Struthio camelus: one gene and its partner. The main gene of each other region encodes a partner of the protein of the gene in region 2 in a complex. Links are inferred from orthologs where the notes say so. Each region holds a gene or a part of one and is shown on either strand. Other genes may lie near its edges.

Region 1 (7,538 bases), on a different chromosome or scaffold from region 2:
AAGACACTAACATCTCAGAACAAATTTAAAATGTAATTCCACTAGGAAAAGCACGTTTGCAGGAAAAAAACAGCTTTGTAGCAAATTCTCATTAGGAGGACATTAATGTCTAATTGAGTTTTACTTTGACAGCACAACAAGCAAAATCAGGCACACTTGACTTAATCCTCATGCCTTAACTGCCAGACCAAATCATATCCTTGGTTTTCATCTGACCAATCTATTTCTAGCTATTGTTTCCCATCTACTTCATGTGCAAGTTTGCTAAATAGAACATAAGCTCGCTGTAGAAAGGCTAGGGTCTTTGCCAAAAAGGGATCACAACTTTCAACAGCGCAGTCACTAAATGAAAAGCAAAATATCACTAACGTGCTTCTTTCTTGGATATTAACAAAATATAGAGTTATTCCAAGCAAACACTCAAACAATAAATTGTTTTCTTTTTGTATCTACTTGGCTAATTTTCCTGTAGACGGAGGGCAAACATGTCCACCTAAACGTAGCTGCAGTCCTTTTTCCAAAAGTCAAGTTTCTTTAGATGTGTTTTCCATGGATAATCCAGTTTTTCAGTTCGGAATTTCATAAACATTGCAGAAAAAGATGAGGTATTTTAAGGAGCAAGAGACAAATTTAGCCTGCAAAATCCTCTTACTGTAGTTTGTATGAAGAGGATTAGGGGAACACTATGATGCTCAGATCCTAGACTAATCATTTAAAATCAAGAGTTAGAAGAAAAAGTTATAATCAGCAAAGCGAAAGAGATCTCACTTGAAAGTCACTGACTACAAATACAGCACACAGAAAGCTCTTTGAAAATAAAACTGGATTTTTCCGGTTGTAGTCTGAAGTGTTCTGGCTTTGCAGTCCCTTAAGAAATTGATTACTGAAGACCCTTCAGTCCTAGAAATCCAAAGTATTATCTGGACATGACCTAGGTTTAATTCATATGCTATCAGACAGCAACCTCATTTGTTTGATGGTTGGGCTATTTTAAAACTTTGATTTATAAGTGAAGATTTACTACTGTGCCAGTGCTGAATAAAACTAATGGTATTATGAATAAACAGTAAAATATATCACACACATGCTACGGCCTTCTTTAGCATCATGGGGTTATGTAAGTGTAATAGAGGGGTGAACCACACAAAACTTAAGTGTTAATCTGCGGGAGAGAGTTTACTATCTAGGGAAACAGCTTCTCTGTAAACACTGATCCTCTGCTTGGATAATAGCTCAGTCTAGAAAATTGTTCTTTCAAGCCTCACTCAGGTGACTAATCTCACTGAAATTATTTACTCATAGTGTATGAAAGCAGGCTATGAAACCAGGCCTAGGAGTATACATCATACAACAAAAAATCCTGCTGTTAATAGTATAAATTCTCCACACTAATACAAAGATACTAAAATACAGTTTCACTATAATTCTCGTCTCCTGTTGCTGATTAACTACTAATTTTAAATGTTTAGAAAAAGTAATGAAAATGAAAAAGCAATTTCTTGTCTACAGCATTCAAATACAGAGATACAGGTGATCTCCTCTTCCAGGAGGAGATCCTCTAATATGATATAAAATGTATTCCACGCTAGAAAACAGCAGTTGAAAAAGACGTTTGGTGTCTTAGAAAAATACATTTTTCCAGCTCCTCCAAAGCAAAATTACTGCTCGAGACCTTGCCTCAGCATTTATCTTATGCTTATTACCACTTGTTAGGCAATACTGCATGCGTTGGAATCATTTCTGCTTGCCTTCCTGGAAAGTGACTTACAATAGACCTTGAGAGTCAACAGAGCCGGGGAAAAAGTTGCTGGGTTACATGGTGCCTCATTACGGCAACAATCAGTTAAATTGAATCGGCTGCAGACAAGCTGTACTCCTTTCCCGACACTCCTGCCCACCCAGAAGAAGCCAGACCAGGGCCTGTGGTGACCTGTAACACCAGGCCCATAAGAAAATGGAAAGCCTTCCCTTTGAGGAGGAGGAGGCTTTATGCTCTTAAACGATTCACGTGCACTTCACGAACAACTCCAGAGCCCCTTTGTCTTCTGCAGTCTGCCTCGTTCACACTTTTGCTCTACTAGAGGGGGCCGCGCGAGGAGACCCGCTCTCCCAGCACGTCTGTTTGTAAACGCTTCCAGCGCAGCCCTGGCCGGCTCTCCGTTGCCCTCCCCCTGCCCCCTCGCTGCTCGGGCTGCAGCCACAGAGCCAGAGGGCGAAAACGGGCCCTGGGGGGGACACGGGGGCTAGTTGGGGGGGGGGGGCAGGGAAGAGAGGATATAGGTCGCTGAGGGGGAAGGAATGGGCTCTAGGGGGAACGATGGACTCTGAAGGGGCAGCAGGGGCGGGAATAGGCGCTGAGGTAAGGACTGGGGAGGGGGGGAAGGAGGGCTGAGGAGGGCAGTAGGGGCGGGAAGGAGGGAGAGACGGGCGCTGAGGAGGGACGATGTCGGAAGCCGGCGCGGCATGAGGGGTGGCAGCCGGCCGGGGGCAAGCCCCACGGGGGGTAGGGGAGCCTCGTCCCCCCCGCGGGGAGGCAGGGCCGAGGCGGCGGCCTCGGGAGCGGGGTTGCGGGGGGGGGCGGCTCCGAGGCAGGGCCGGGCACCCCCCGCCATGTCGGGGAGGCGCTGGCCACCCCCCCCCCCCCGCCATTTCGGGGAAGGCAGCGAAGGGCGGCAGGAGCTAGAAGGGACGGCGGGGCCCGGGGAGGAAGGTATCGCGGCGGAGGGCGAGCTGCCGGGCAGGTAACGTGTGTGTGTGTGTATGTATATGTCCCCCCCCAACCACCACCCCGGGCGGGAAGGGGCGGGGGCGCTCACAGCGGATGGTGTGGAAGGAGGCCTTGGGCCGGCGCTCGAAGCTCTCGCCCAGCTGCAGCGGGTGCTCCTCCTTGTCCAGTAGCGGGTTCGCCGAGCCGTTCATGGCCCCGCTGCCGTGCCGTGCCGTGCCGTGTCCTGCGCCGCCCGTCCCTTCCTCTCCTCCGCCCGCTGCGTGCGCGGCCGCCCCGCGCCCTTCCGGGCCCTGAGTGCAGCCGCGAAAGTGCTCCGGGGCCGAGCCGAGCCGTCTCGTCCCGTCCCGTCCCCTCTCCCCACAGGGCACCGAGGGCAGGTGGGCGCCGTTGGGGGGGCACGCAGGGGGTCTGGCCCCGTGTGGGGCGCCCTCCCCCCCCCCCGCAGCGGGGTCTGGCCGCCCCTCGCGGCGTGGGGCGGGGGGGAGCGGGGGCTGCGCGGTGCTAACGGCTGCTAACGGCTGCTGGGGGGGTTGCGGGGCGGGCGACCGTTATCGTCGTGTCAGCTCTTTGGTTTCTGTCTAACACAGGGGTCTTTCCAGACGTAAAGGGGGCAATTTAAACGGGTCATTTCCCCCCCCCCCACTCCCCTCTCTAGCTTGTCTTACCCCAAAAAACCCCGCACGCGTTGATTTGATGCGTGCCAGGCGCACAGCAGAACCTTTTTGCTGCTGAAACTTCTCTTTTTGTTTTTTTTCTTTCTTTCTTTGAGGATATACCTTCAAGAAAAAATCAAAATATTACATATTTTGAGGAAAAGCCTGTGTCTTTAGTAGATTTTCCTTCTTCAAGGGAGTCTCATCGCTGTTGGCCTTTCCCAGCCTTCCTGCGGGCAAGCGGCGTGTGGTCTGGCTCCTGTGAAGCTGGGCACAACGGGCCCGCTTCCTCGTTTCCCGCCGTTCCCGCGTTTGTGTGTTGTGTTTGCACTGTTACGTTTGTACTAACCAAGATAAAATAGCGGAATGAAGTACTGCTCGTTGTTGTTGTTCTTTTTTGTTTTGCTGAAGGGTAGAAGTTGTTGTTTTTCCTCATTTCCGTTTCTGTGAAGCGGCACGAATGCCCAGTCCTGGGCACTGATGGACGTGGATGGGCGCGTTTTGGCCTGCCAGGGGTTTCAGGGGAGTTACTGGGTCACGCGGGATTTAATTCACGTACGCCGTCTGGGTGTTTGTGGCAAGGCAGAGCTCAGAGCTAGTTTAACGTTAGGGAAATGACTTGAATCCTTTCCTGGCCTCCATAAAGGTGTTTTTATTGCCTCATTTTTGTTAACTTCTGAAAAAAACATACCCGTCATTGTTCAAACTGCTGTGAATCCTCAGGAAGAGGCAGTGGAAGGAGTGCGAGCTCAGGAGAAATGTTAAGGTGAATATGGTTTTCTTTGCCAACTGAAACGGGACTCTTAAAAGGTGTGCCCCCTGCTTTTCAGTTGTGAGCTTTCTGAGGTGTTACTAACCAGAGTTACAAAGCCCGTGTTTTCCTTTTCTAGTCGATTTTAGTGCAAATAAACTTAGAGCTGCATCATCTCTCTCTGGTTGGGTAGTTTTCTATGATACGTGTGGAAGACCAGCAGAATTTGTCCCCTGTGTTCTTTGAGATCAGTGTAGTGTCTTACCTGGTGCTTAGCTTTGAAGGAGGATTTCTGAAAATAAGAGAAGCAAGTCTGGTGGTTTTGCGGTCTGTTATGTAGGGCAGATCACCATAAAACCTCCGAAAGTGCATACAAAAACTAACTATCTCCCTCTCTCTCTCTCTCTCTCTCTTTCTCTTTTGTGCTTTTAGATCCTTGGTTATTTACCAAAATTAAGTGATGGAAACATATATATGCTAAAAAAAAAATCACTGTTGGGGCTTTGGTATTCACATCTCTGTGAAATACTCTAGGATGTTCCATGAAAACCCACCAGCCGATTGCTTAAATTTAATAATTACATCTACTGAAGCTGATGCTTTCCAAAAAAAAGGCCATAGTGCAAGGATCCTTAGCCCCGAAGAAGCTGAGAGACTGGCAAAAGATAAGGTTTTGGTGACTGATTTCAAACAACTAAAATTGGAGAAAGAGGCACAGAAGAACTGGGATCTATTTTACAAAAGAAACAGCACCAACTTCTTCAAAGACAGACACTGGACAACCAGAGAGTTTCAAGAGTTAAAAGCATGTCGGGAGGTGAGCTGAATACACCTATCTATAAGTAAAGAGATATGATTCATTGTTTTCAAATGATGTAGTAATATTTCTAACAAAGCCATTAAGGTGAGAGCTCTCACGTTTTAAGTGTGTAGTGCTTTGTGTAGTGTAGTCTCTTTTAATGTCAAAGATATCTCCTCAGGATCAGTTTAGTTTCAGTTTATAATTCTTTCATATTGTATATGGAGAACCAAATCTGGAATATTTATTTTGCATCTGCACAGAGAGACAAGTTGTCTATTTAGGACGCAAGTTACAGCACTTAAAACACTGTTTTAAAGAAAGCATCCAGAACTACAGGCTAATTGCAAAATATCCTTAAGGGGAATAGTCAGATGCATCTGTTGCTCATTCTATCTGGATGAGACACAAGACAGCAATAGTACAACAATCTGTTAATTAAGTGGGTGGATGACTAAAGAAATATTAAAAGTTTTAAAAAGACGTGTAATTTTGCACAAATTAAAATTCCTGTTTTGTAGTGTTAGATTACTGATGGATGCCTCTTCAGTTCTTGAATCAATGGTAGTTAAAATTGATTGCTTTTAAAATGCTAATTGAAACGTGTGTCTGCTTGTGTCATGAGGAAAACAAAAATGATGTGATGCCTCTTGGATTTCTTCCTTCCCAGTTTGAAGATCAGAAGCTGACCATTCTAGAAGCAGGCTGTGGGGTTGGGAACTGCTTGTTTCCACTCCTAGAAGAGGATCTGAATATTTTTGCATATGCCTGTGATTTCTCTCCTAGAGCTGTTGAGTATGTGAAGGTTGGTGTGGTATTCAGTACTTCTTTTAGAGTGTCTTTAGAAGCTTATGAATTTGCACATGGTTGGAGTGATGGACTTGCCTTCCTTTTTCAAGAAAAGTAAACTAGCATTTGTCAAAGAACAGGAACAGATCCATTTCACTGGAGCTCCCATTGAAAGAAGCTGAATCGTTGTTTAAGACCTAATTTTTGAGCATCAAATTGTAGTAGCGGTATATGTTTGTTACTTCACCTGAATGTTCTGTGAAGACTATGTTTTCCTGGGGAGAGAAGTTTGCCTTTGTGGGGTAGAGGGAGTCCCAAGGATAATCTTGAAAACGGGGATATGAAAGTTATTGGTAAAGAAATCTGGAGACTGATCAGAAATAGGTATGTTTATACCTGCTCATAGCTAAAGAGTGCTGCAATCCAAAACAAGTCTTCCAGTAAGGCTTATGGGGACAATGGACTGGTTTGTTAAATTTGTAATCAGAGGTAGGTTTTTATGTATCTTTCATTAGAAAGCATTCTCTTATGGGACATTTATGGCTGAGAACCACAAGACTCGTACTGCAGACCTCACCCAAACAATGGAAGAAATACATTAGTGGGTCACAAACAGGAGGTGACAGCAACTCCCTGGAGTGCCACGGGTGTACTGCCAGATGAGGTTGGACTGAGTGTATAGGCTTGGTTTTGGTCAGCTTGGTGGTGTTTGCCTCCACAGCTCCGGCTGGACTTCTTTCTTTCCAGGACCAGGTTTCCTTTCACCCAGGGAAAAAAAAAAAAAGGGACTAGAACAGCCAAACTGCAGGTTGCGTGAGCTGTTTACGAGCTACTTGTGGCTGAAGAGCTGTGCTTTGATCCCCTTGTAATAGAGAATTTCTATTAATAATATTTCTGTGTTTTTAAAGAGTAGAAGCAGCTGTAAAACAGAAATAGTGTGATATTTTAATTATGTCTTAACACACATTCCTTCTCAAATTCCTGAGAACAGACCATTTTTTTCACTATTATAGTGTCCAGCAAAGAATTTCATTTTGTGGTAGTTGCCTAATCTTCTTTTGCCGCTTGCTTTATGTTTCTTTACTAATTAGTTTCACAAGTTTTTGACTTTTTTTTAAAAATAACAAAAACTGATAATTGTCAGTTAAATCATAGTCTTTTCATTTCCCTAGAAAAATTCTTTATACAGTACTGAAAGATGTAAAGTGTTCCAGTGTGATCTTACTAAAGATGATCTTACAGAAAATATACCAGCAGATTCTGTGGATGTTGTCACACTTATATTTGTGCTCTCTGCCATTCATCCTGACAAAATGCACCTTGTCTTGAAGAACGTTTACAAGGTAGGCACGAGCAGCTGATTTTACAGCCTTTAAAGCACTTTTATTCTTTTTGGCTTGAAAGTACAATTTTATTCTAAAAAAACAACTCTACTTTTAATCGTGATCCTTAATTAACACTATATTCCCTGGGAGTATTTAGCTAGCTCTTGGTATTTTGAGAGTTGTTTGGATTCTAGTCTTAACGTGTGTCGTCAGCATAACAAAATGGTATCTTGGACCCGTGAATTTGCTGCTAGTTGTACACTACAAAGAGTATTTTCAGCTTACAGAAATGCCTGTGTCTGTAAGATAGGAATGAAAGTGCATCAAAAGTCACTTCCAGACGACGCAATGACTTGCAGTTGGAGTTTGATTATTAAACTCGCTTGATCTATGTGATTTAGAAATGGGCTGTTCATATATACTAATGTTAACCTAGAGATACTCTAGGTTGCCTTGTAGTTGATGGAGAGAGGGGCCCATCCAGAGGGTAGTT
Region 2 (6,958 bases):
AACGCGGCCCTCAAAGTATGAGCAGTTGCTGTCACGCACAAAAGGAGATGCTGAGCAAGTCCCCAGCTGGCACTGTGTCACCAGCTCAAAGCTATCAAGAAGTGTCATATGCAAACTCAGAGAGGGACGGCTCCAGCTCCTGACAGGGTATCAGCTACGCACAGCCACAAAACCAGCTCCAGGCTGAAAACCCTGTGCTTCACACTTCTCTCCAGTGCTAGTTTATTTAAAGCCTCTCAAATGGGAGTTTCCCAGCACACAGTACGTGCGCTGCCGCAGCACAGGCATACTCTAGCAGGACTGCCAACAGTTTATTCCAGCCAAGCTGTGGCACAATCCTCTCTTAACTCATTCAGAAACACTGTTGTTCAAAGATGGGTCTACTGTCACCCTAAATCAGAGATGAGGGAACTCAGCCAAAGGACTCCGCTCCCCCCGACAAAACACCAGCCTGCTCAGCAGAAGAAAGCCAACAGCCACTTCAGCAAGCAGTCAGCACAAGAGGCACCACCGCACGCTACCTTTGGTCCTGCAGATTTCTATGAGGTTCACCACATTCTCGTGTTTGAGCAGCTGGAGGATTTTAATCTCTCGCAGGGCTGTGATGGGGAACTAGAAAGGAGAAATAGAGAACATGGATTAGGAGTGTAGGAGACCAGGCCACAGCTGCCTAGAGAACAGGAGGAGAGATGTGATCACAGCAGCACAGCAGGGGACCTGCTTGAGCAGCACCCTGACACGTCATTTAAGGGCAAGCAGATCTTCAAAAGAGAAAGCCAACGCTGGGATTGTCATAATAATATTCCCCATTGCACCAGATCCTGTTCTCTGAACAGTGTTTCAGAGGGCTGATCCTGCTGGGTACAGCTGCTCTCAGCACCTGGAGGCCGCAGCACACCGAGTCCCTAGAGGACAGGGCTCTTCCTCTCCAGCCCTCGCATTACAAATGCCACAAGACAAAAAGACAGATACCTGCCTAAATGCTGTGTTTCAGGCCACCGTCACTGAGAGAAATTATGCCATGACACACGGGTTTTTGGGTGACGCCAGAGTGAAATCAGCATGCAGACACCCCTCCTCTCCTCACTTTGCGTTTCTGTAACGGGATGCTGCGTACAGCCCCACACGACCCACAGAGCGGCCTCCTTAGCCCGTGCTGCTTACTCGGTTAGTGCCTCCCTAGCCTGCCCCATCTCTCTGCACACTCTCAGCATGTGCTTTTTGCGTAGTCCCTAGTACAGCCGGGACAGTCAATACCTCAGGCAGTTCCTCCATGAACAACAGCCGACGCAAAAGCCCACGCATGCCGGGGGCGATCGGATTTCGTACAGATGTATGAATGCGCACAGAGGTGTCACCTCCCAGCAGCCGTTGGCAGCAGCTCAGTCACCCCACAGCTACTAGGCTGCACTGGGTGTCGCGCAGCTTTGCGGCCAACAAGGCGATAACAGGACCTACCCTTCAGAGGTAGGGCAGCCACGAGATGCAGCGTTATCACAACATCGGTATGAGAGGAAAACAGGCCACAGGGCTGAGATCCTGCCCACATCCTTAAGGGTTCAACATGTAGCACGTTACAGCAGTAAATATTGCAAAAGAAGTACAAATAGGTGGTAACATCCTACAGAGTGACAACACATCTCTGGCATCCCAAAGATCAGCCTTCACCTATGCGCTCTCCAGGCCTTTCCCAAATACAGCACAGCTGTGCTCCTCACACTTACCCCCTCCTTCTCATTTTCCATCAACACTTTCTTCAGTGCTACTTTCTTGCCTGTTTGACGATGTTTTGCTTTGAAAACTTCCCTGTAAAAGCAGAAGGAGATGTATGAGCAGCACAGCAAGAGAAGGAGCCAGGTGCTACCTACCAGGAACGAGACCAAACAAAACACTTTATAGCTTCACAGAGAGAGCTCTGTGCTGAGCCACCATCCAACCCAGCCAGGTGCCCTTCAGGCCAAAAGCCACTAAGACTGGCTGGGACGATGCAGAGCCCAGAGCAAGGGCACACACAGCTCCCACACCCCCCGGGAGAACAGTGGCTAAAGCGTCTCACATCCCCAGCCCAGTGGGAGAACGAGATGAATGTTGCAAGGACATTTTTCAGACTCCAGGCAATAGGAATCTCAGATGTTGTGGTAGAAAAATAAGGTGTGAGGCTGGACTCTCTCAAAAACTGCAGGAGGATGCTCAAAACATCACCACAGCAGAAGGAGGGAAGAGTCTCTGCTCCTCCCTGTCCTGAGCATCTCCAAAACCAACTCTTCTCTGCCACCAGCAGGCCTGGGACAGAGAGGGGACCTGGGGTGGGAGAAGGAGCTGGAGGAAGGGGGTTCAGGGGGGTGCACTGCTTCCCAGGAGCCAGAGAAGGGACAGGGGAAACGACACTCGAGCTAGGAGCACTCAGAGCCCAGGGGCACCTCAGCCGAGAGAGAGCAGGGGAAAGGCCCTGCCACCCAGAGCAATTGGGCTGCAGAGGGGAGCAGAGGCAGCAGCTCTGACCCCAGAACCGGGGAGGGAGGGGGGGAGGCTGCACAGCCCTGCGCGGGGCCAGGGGGAGAAGAATTGGGGGGGGGGGGGGAAGAGATGAGGCCCAGGGTGAGGAGGAGAGCAGGGGACAGGCCGGGAGAAGAGAGCCGGTCCGGGGGGGGGGGGGCTGGTCCCAAGGGGACTAAAGCGCCAGTCCTAACGTGGGGGAGGGGAGGCGAAGAGGCCGGTCCCGGGGGGCGGGGAAGGGGCCGCGGCCGGGACCCGCAGGCCCGAGGCTGACGCCGGCGCGGAGCAGGCGAACAGGCCGCGAAGAGGAAGGCAGGACCCGGCGTCGGAGGGCGGCGGCGCTCACCCGAAGGTGCCCTGCCCGATCTTGGCCAGCTTCTCGTACTTGGACACCTCGTCGCAGAAGGGGCACTCCACCATGTCGTACTGCTTGGCCATGCCGGCCGCCCCGCTCCGCTCCGCTCCCCTCCCGCTTCCGCTTCCGGTCTGCCGGAGGCCACGCCCCTTCCGCCCGCCGCCGCCGCGCGGGCCTCTGGGACTTGTAGTCCGCTGGGGGCGGCCATGTTGGCGGCGAGGCCTAGCAGCCGCCTCCTTCCCTAGAGAGTCACACCCAAGCAGCCCAGCCCTGCCCAGCCCAGCCCACTGCGGGGCTTCTCCCTCACAGCGCTCGGCCGCTTCCCCTCCCATCACGTCTCCCCGAAGACGGGGGCCATGCTGCTGACAAAGTCGCGGGCGCGTGCGGGGCACCCTGGCCCCGGGGGCGGCGGCGGCAGCGGATCGCCCTCGTCCTCCCTGCGGGTGTTTTCCAGCGGGTGGTTTTGCGTCAGCCTGGCCTGACGCGCCGAAGACACCCAGCCGTTGCCTGACGCGCCGAAGACACCCAGCCGTTGCCAGCGTCCTTATCCCTCGCCGAAGGGCCGTCCTTCCCCCCGGCCTCAGCACGCGGCGGGGCTCACGATCCCTCTGCCCGGGGCGATGCCCTGGGTCGGGGGCCGAACACGTTATCCCAGGGTTATTTAAAACGGCTGCCGAAGGCGGAGAGGCGCAACAGGAAGCATCCGGGCCGGACGGCAGCGGAGACGCAGAGATGGCTCCCGGCGTGCCGCGCGGCAGGATCCGCGTGCCGCCTCCTGGAGAGAGGCGGAAAGCCGGGACAAGGCTCCCTGCCAGGCCGGGGGCCGCCCTGCCCTGCGCGGAAAAAGGCTGCGCGTCCCCGGCGGGGGCACCCGAAGGTCCCCCAGGCCGGGGTGGGGGGGGACGGGAACGGGGACTGCCGCTGGCGGCGACGCCGCTGACGCCGGCCACCAGCCGGGGGGGACCGGGCGAGGGCAGGGGCTGCGCTCTGCCCCCGCGGGGCCGGCGTCCTCGCCCGGGGGCTTTTTTGGGCGGCCGCGTGGGGGCCGGGAGCGGGCGACGGCGGGCGGGCGGGCGGGCGGGAGGAAGCGCGGAGCGAGCGCGAGGCGGAGGGGGCAGGAAGGGAGGAGCGGGGCAAGGAAGGGCTTGAAGTTTATAAACTTATCCCTGCCGGTCCCCGCCGCCACCGCCGCCGCCATGGCCGAGAGCCAGAAACGAGGGGGCTTCAAGAAATTCAGTAAGCGGCGGTGGGGAGGAGCGGCGGGGTTGCTCGCCTGGGCGGCCCGGCAGGGGCAGGGGACGCGGGCGAGGACGTGGCTCCCGCGGGCTCTGCTTTCGTTCGGGCTCGGGGTGGGGGTGAGAAGATTTGGGGGATTTCGCCCTCGCCACGGTGGAGGGCGACCCCAAGGGCTGCTCGCCCAGCAACGGGGTGCTGGGACGGGGACCAGCCCGCCACCGGCCAGCCCCGCACCGGGACGCGGTGGGGGCGAGCCGGGCGCCGGTCCCCCATGCCGCCGGGGGTTTTCCCTCTGCAGATCGCGTCTCCCTGGGAATATTTCCCGCCGGGAGCAGGGGTGCGGGTGCGCCGGCCGGAGGGGGAGAGCAGACGAGCCAGGTTTCGGCGGCCGGGGGCGAATTCTCGCGGATTTAGCAAGGATCCCACCTGGCACCGCGCACGGGGCCGAAACGCTCTCGCAGGAAGCGGCTCGGTGCCCTCCGGGAACGAACTCTGCTCTTCCTCACAGACCGCGGGTTGTCCCCGAAGCCCTCGGAGGCGGCTCCAGCGGGGCCGTCAGGCCGCCGGCCCCCCGCGCCGCCTTCCCCTCGCCGCGGCTCTCTGCCTTCCTGCCGGCTCCACGTGCTCGGGTTGGCACGGCCTCTCGTGCCCCCTTTCCCCCCCCGGCGCTGGGGCAGGGGCACGCGCAGGGCGACGGAGGCCGCGGCGCGGCTCCCACGGCCCCGCGGGTCCCCCGTGCACCTGGGCTCCCCGCGCAGCTCTGCTGCCGCTTATGGCTTCCTGTCTTGACAAATTCGGCTTTCCTGGAGGGGAAGAGGCTTTGCAGAGCTCTGCCAGCTAAACATTGCAAAACCCCCAGAGGCACCCGAAAAACCAGGGCTCCGGGTGTAAACCCCGCCCCGGCCCAGCAAAGCTGCAGCGGGGAATGCAGCCCCGTGCGCCCACGGGGCCTCCTGCTGCCCTGGCTCCCCCAGGCGCCGGCGCGCGGAGGGCCCCCAGCCCGCAGGCCGGGGCCGCCCGCGGCGTTGCAGCGCGCCGGCCCGCGGCGCCGAGGTATGAAATGCAAAGGCAGCCCGCCGCGGTTATAAATACATCTCCGGCTCCGCGCTCGGCTCTTGCAGGTGGCTGCCGGCAGCCGCAAGAGAGGCGGCGAGAGGCGCGTGTGCACGCCCGCGCTCGGCCGAGGAAGCGGCGCGGGTATCCGCTGCGCCGCGGGGCCCCGAGCCGGCCCCAGCCGCGGCCCGCCGCCAGGGGATGGACCCGCGCCCGCGGGCAGCATCGCCCCCACGCGCCGGGGGGGGAGGCTGCGCCGTGGCCGGGGGACGCCGGCGGGCACAGCCTGGGGGCCGGGCTCGGGGAGGGGGCTGCGGGTGCCGGGGAGCGGCGCAGCCAGGGAGGGCCGGCTCTGTCCGGGACCCCCCGCCGCCCCGTGCCGGCACTAACCCCCTTCCCACCTCTCCTCTCTCCGTGCCAGAGTTCTTCAAGTTCAAGGGCTTCGGGAGCCTGAGCAGCATCCCCCGAACCTTGACGCTGCGGCGCGTCTCCGTGGCCCCCAGCTCCCCCGAGAGCCTGGGCCCGGGGCTCCCCGCCGCCCACGGCTTCCTGGAGGAGCCCTTCGACAGCACCCGGGATGATCTGCACGCGATGCCCAAGAGCCCCAGCCCCTACGCCAGGTCGTCGGACATGTACAGCCACATGGGCACCATGCCCAGGCTGAGCGTGGGCAAGGCGGCGAAGAGCCCGGCCAAGGCCAAGAGCTCCCAGAGCTGCCGCGGGAAAGGCACCGCGGGCAGCAAAATCCCCGCCACGGCCCCAATCCCCATCCCCGAGCGCCCCGAGACGCCCAGCGCCCCCGGCACGGAGCCGTGCCCAGCAGCCGGGAAAGCGGAGCAGCAGGAGGAGGAAGAGGCTGCGCCCTCGGGCATGCCGGGGGCAGCCACGGCCGGCTGCACGCCGGAGCTTTTGGGGAGCGTCTCCCAGCTCGGGCCGGCGGCGCCGACCCCCAGCCCGGCCCCGACCCCCGGCGCGGCCCCTGGAGCGGAGACCGCCGGCGGGCGCCTGCTGGAAAAGGGGCGAGAGCATCCCGGCGAGAGCGCCCCGCGCAGGTAAGGCTCGCTCAGCTGCCGGCTCTCAGCGCGGGGCCGGCGCCGGGCAGGCGCGGGGGGATCGGCAGGGTTGGAGCCGCCGCGGGGGGAGCGCGGACGGCCCCCGGCCCCCTGTCGCGCGCGCTGCCCGCGGGATGCACCTGGCAGACGTGCCGGCCCCGGGGTCGGAGGCTCCATGAGAACAAAGTTTCCTGTGGGATTTCTGCTCCCGCCTGTTTCCGGCCGGGGGGGAAACATCTCGCCGCCTCGCTTGGTCTGGGCTTCCCGTTGTCTCGCTGGCGGCTCCCTTCCAGCTCCGGTTTCGCCGCGCGTCTGCTCGCGGCACGTACCAGCGCGGAGAGCTCCGATTTGCCCCCTCCGTTCTCCCTCCATCTCGTTCTGCTCTTTTTCCTTCCTGCCGTCCTTCTTCCCCGGCGAGCGGCACGGGAGCGATCCCCAGAAACCACCCGCCCGTTCCCACTTCTCTGCCCGGCCCTAAAACCCGCTCTGCAGCTCAGGCCGAGGAGGAGGCATCCCCGCAGGCGCGGGCGCCCTCCTCGCCGCCCGGGCTCTCCGTGGCAGCCTTTGGCCCCCGGGCTTTGCGAGAAGGGGGAACTCCCCCCACGGAGCCGGGACCTGCCACCGCGCCGGGGCAAAGCACGAGTGTGGAAAGAGGAGCAGGATGGAGGGCGCTGGGGCTCAGCGTGTCTCCGAGACGGGAGGGTTTCGCCCTCAGGTTCAGTTTTAACACCCTGCCCATCACCTGGGCATCTGGGCTTGGAGGTGT

What was found. Proteins that work in one complex are often made in the same cells at the same time.
Region 1: CDK9 (region 2) and EAF1 share a complex: the UniProt entries of both Homo sapiens proteins name them as parts of the super elongation complex. The link is inferred for Struthio camelus from reciprocal best matches to the Homo sapiens genes CDK9 and EAF1.

The regions. Positions count from the first base shown.
Region 1 is NC_090943.1:48,872,257-48,879,794, forward strand, and holds the start of EAF1 (ELL-associated factor 1), read right to left. Parts: upstream 3,009-7,538; 5' UTR 2,920-3,008; coding exon 2,817-2,919; intron 2,742-2,816; exon of another isoform or gene 2,376-2,741; intron 1-2,375. Other genes in the region: SH3BP5 (SH3 domain-binding protein 5), read left to right, coding at 4,668-4,949, 5,602-5,736. UniProt on the Homo sapiens protein: Acts as a transcriptional transactivator of ELL and ELL2 elongation activities.
Region 2 is NC_090961.1:7,655,766-7,662,723, reverse strand, and holds the start of CDK9 (cyclin-dependent kinase 9), read right to left. Parts: upstream 3,012-6,958; 5' UTR 2,935-3,011; coding exon 2,843-2,934; intron 1,807-2,842; coding exon 1,725-1,806; intron 613-1,724; coding exon 522-612; intron 1-521. Other genes in the region: SH2D3C (SH2 domain-containing protein 3C), read left to right, coding at 4,048-4,087, 5,562-6,192. UniProt on the Homo sapiens protein: Protein kinase involved in the regulation of transcription.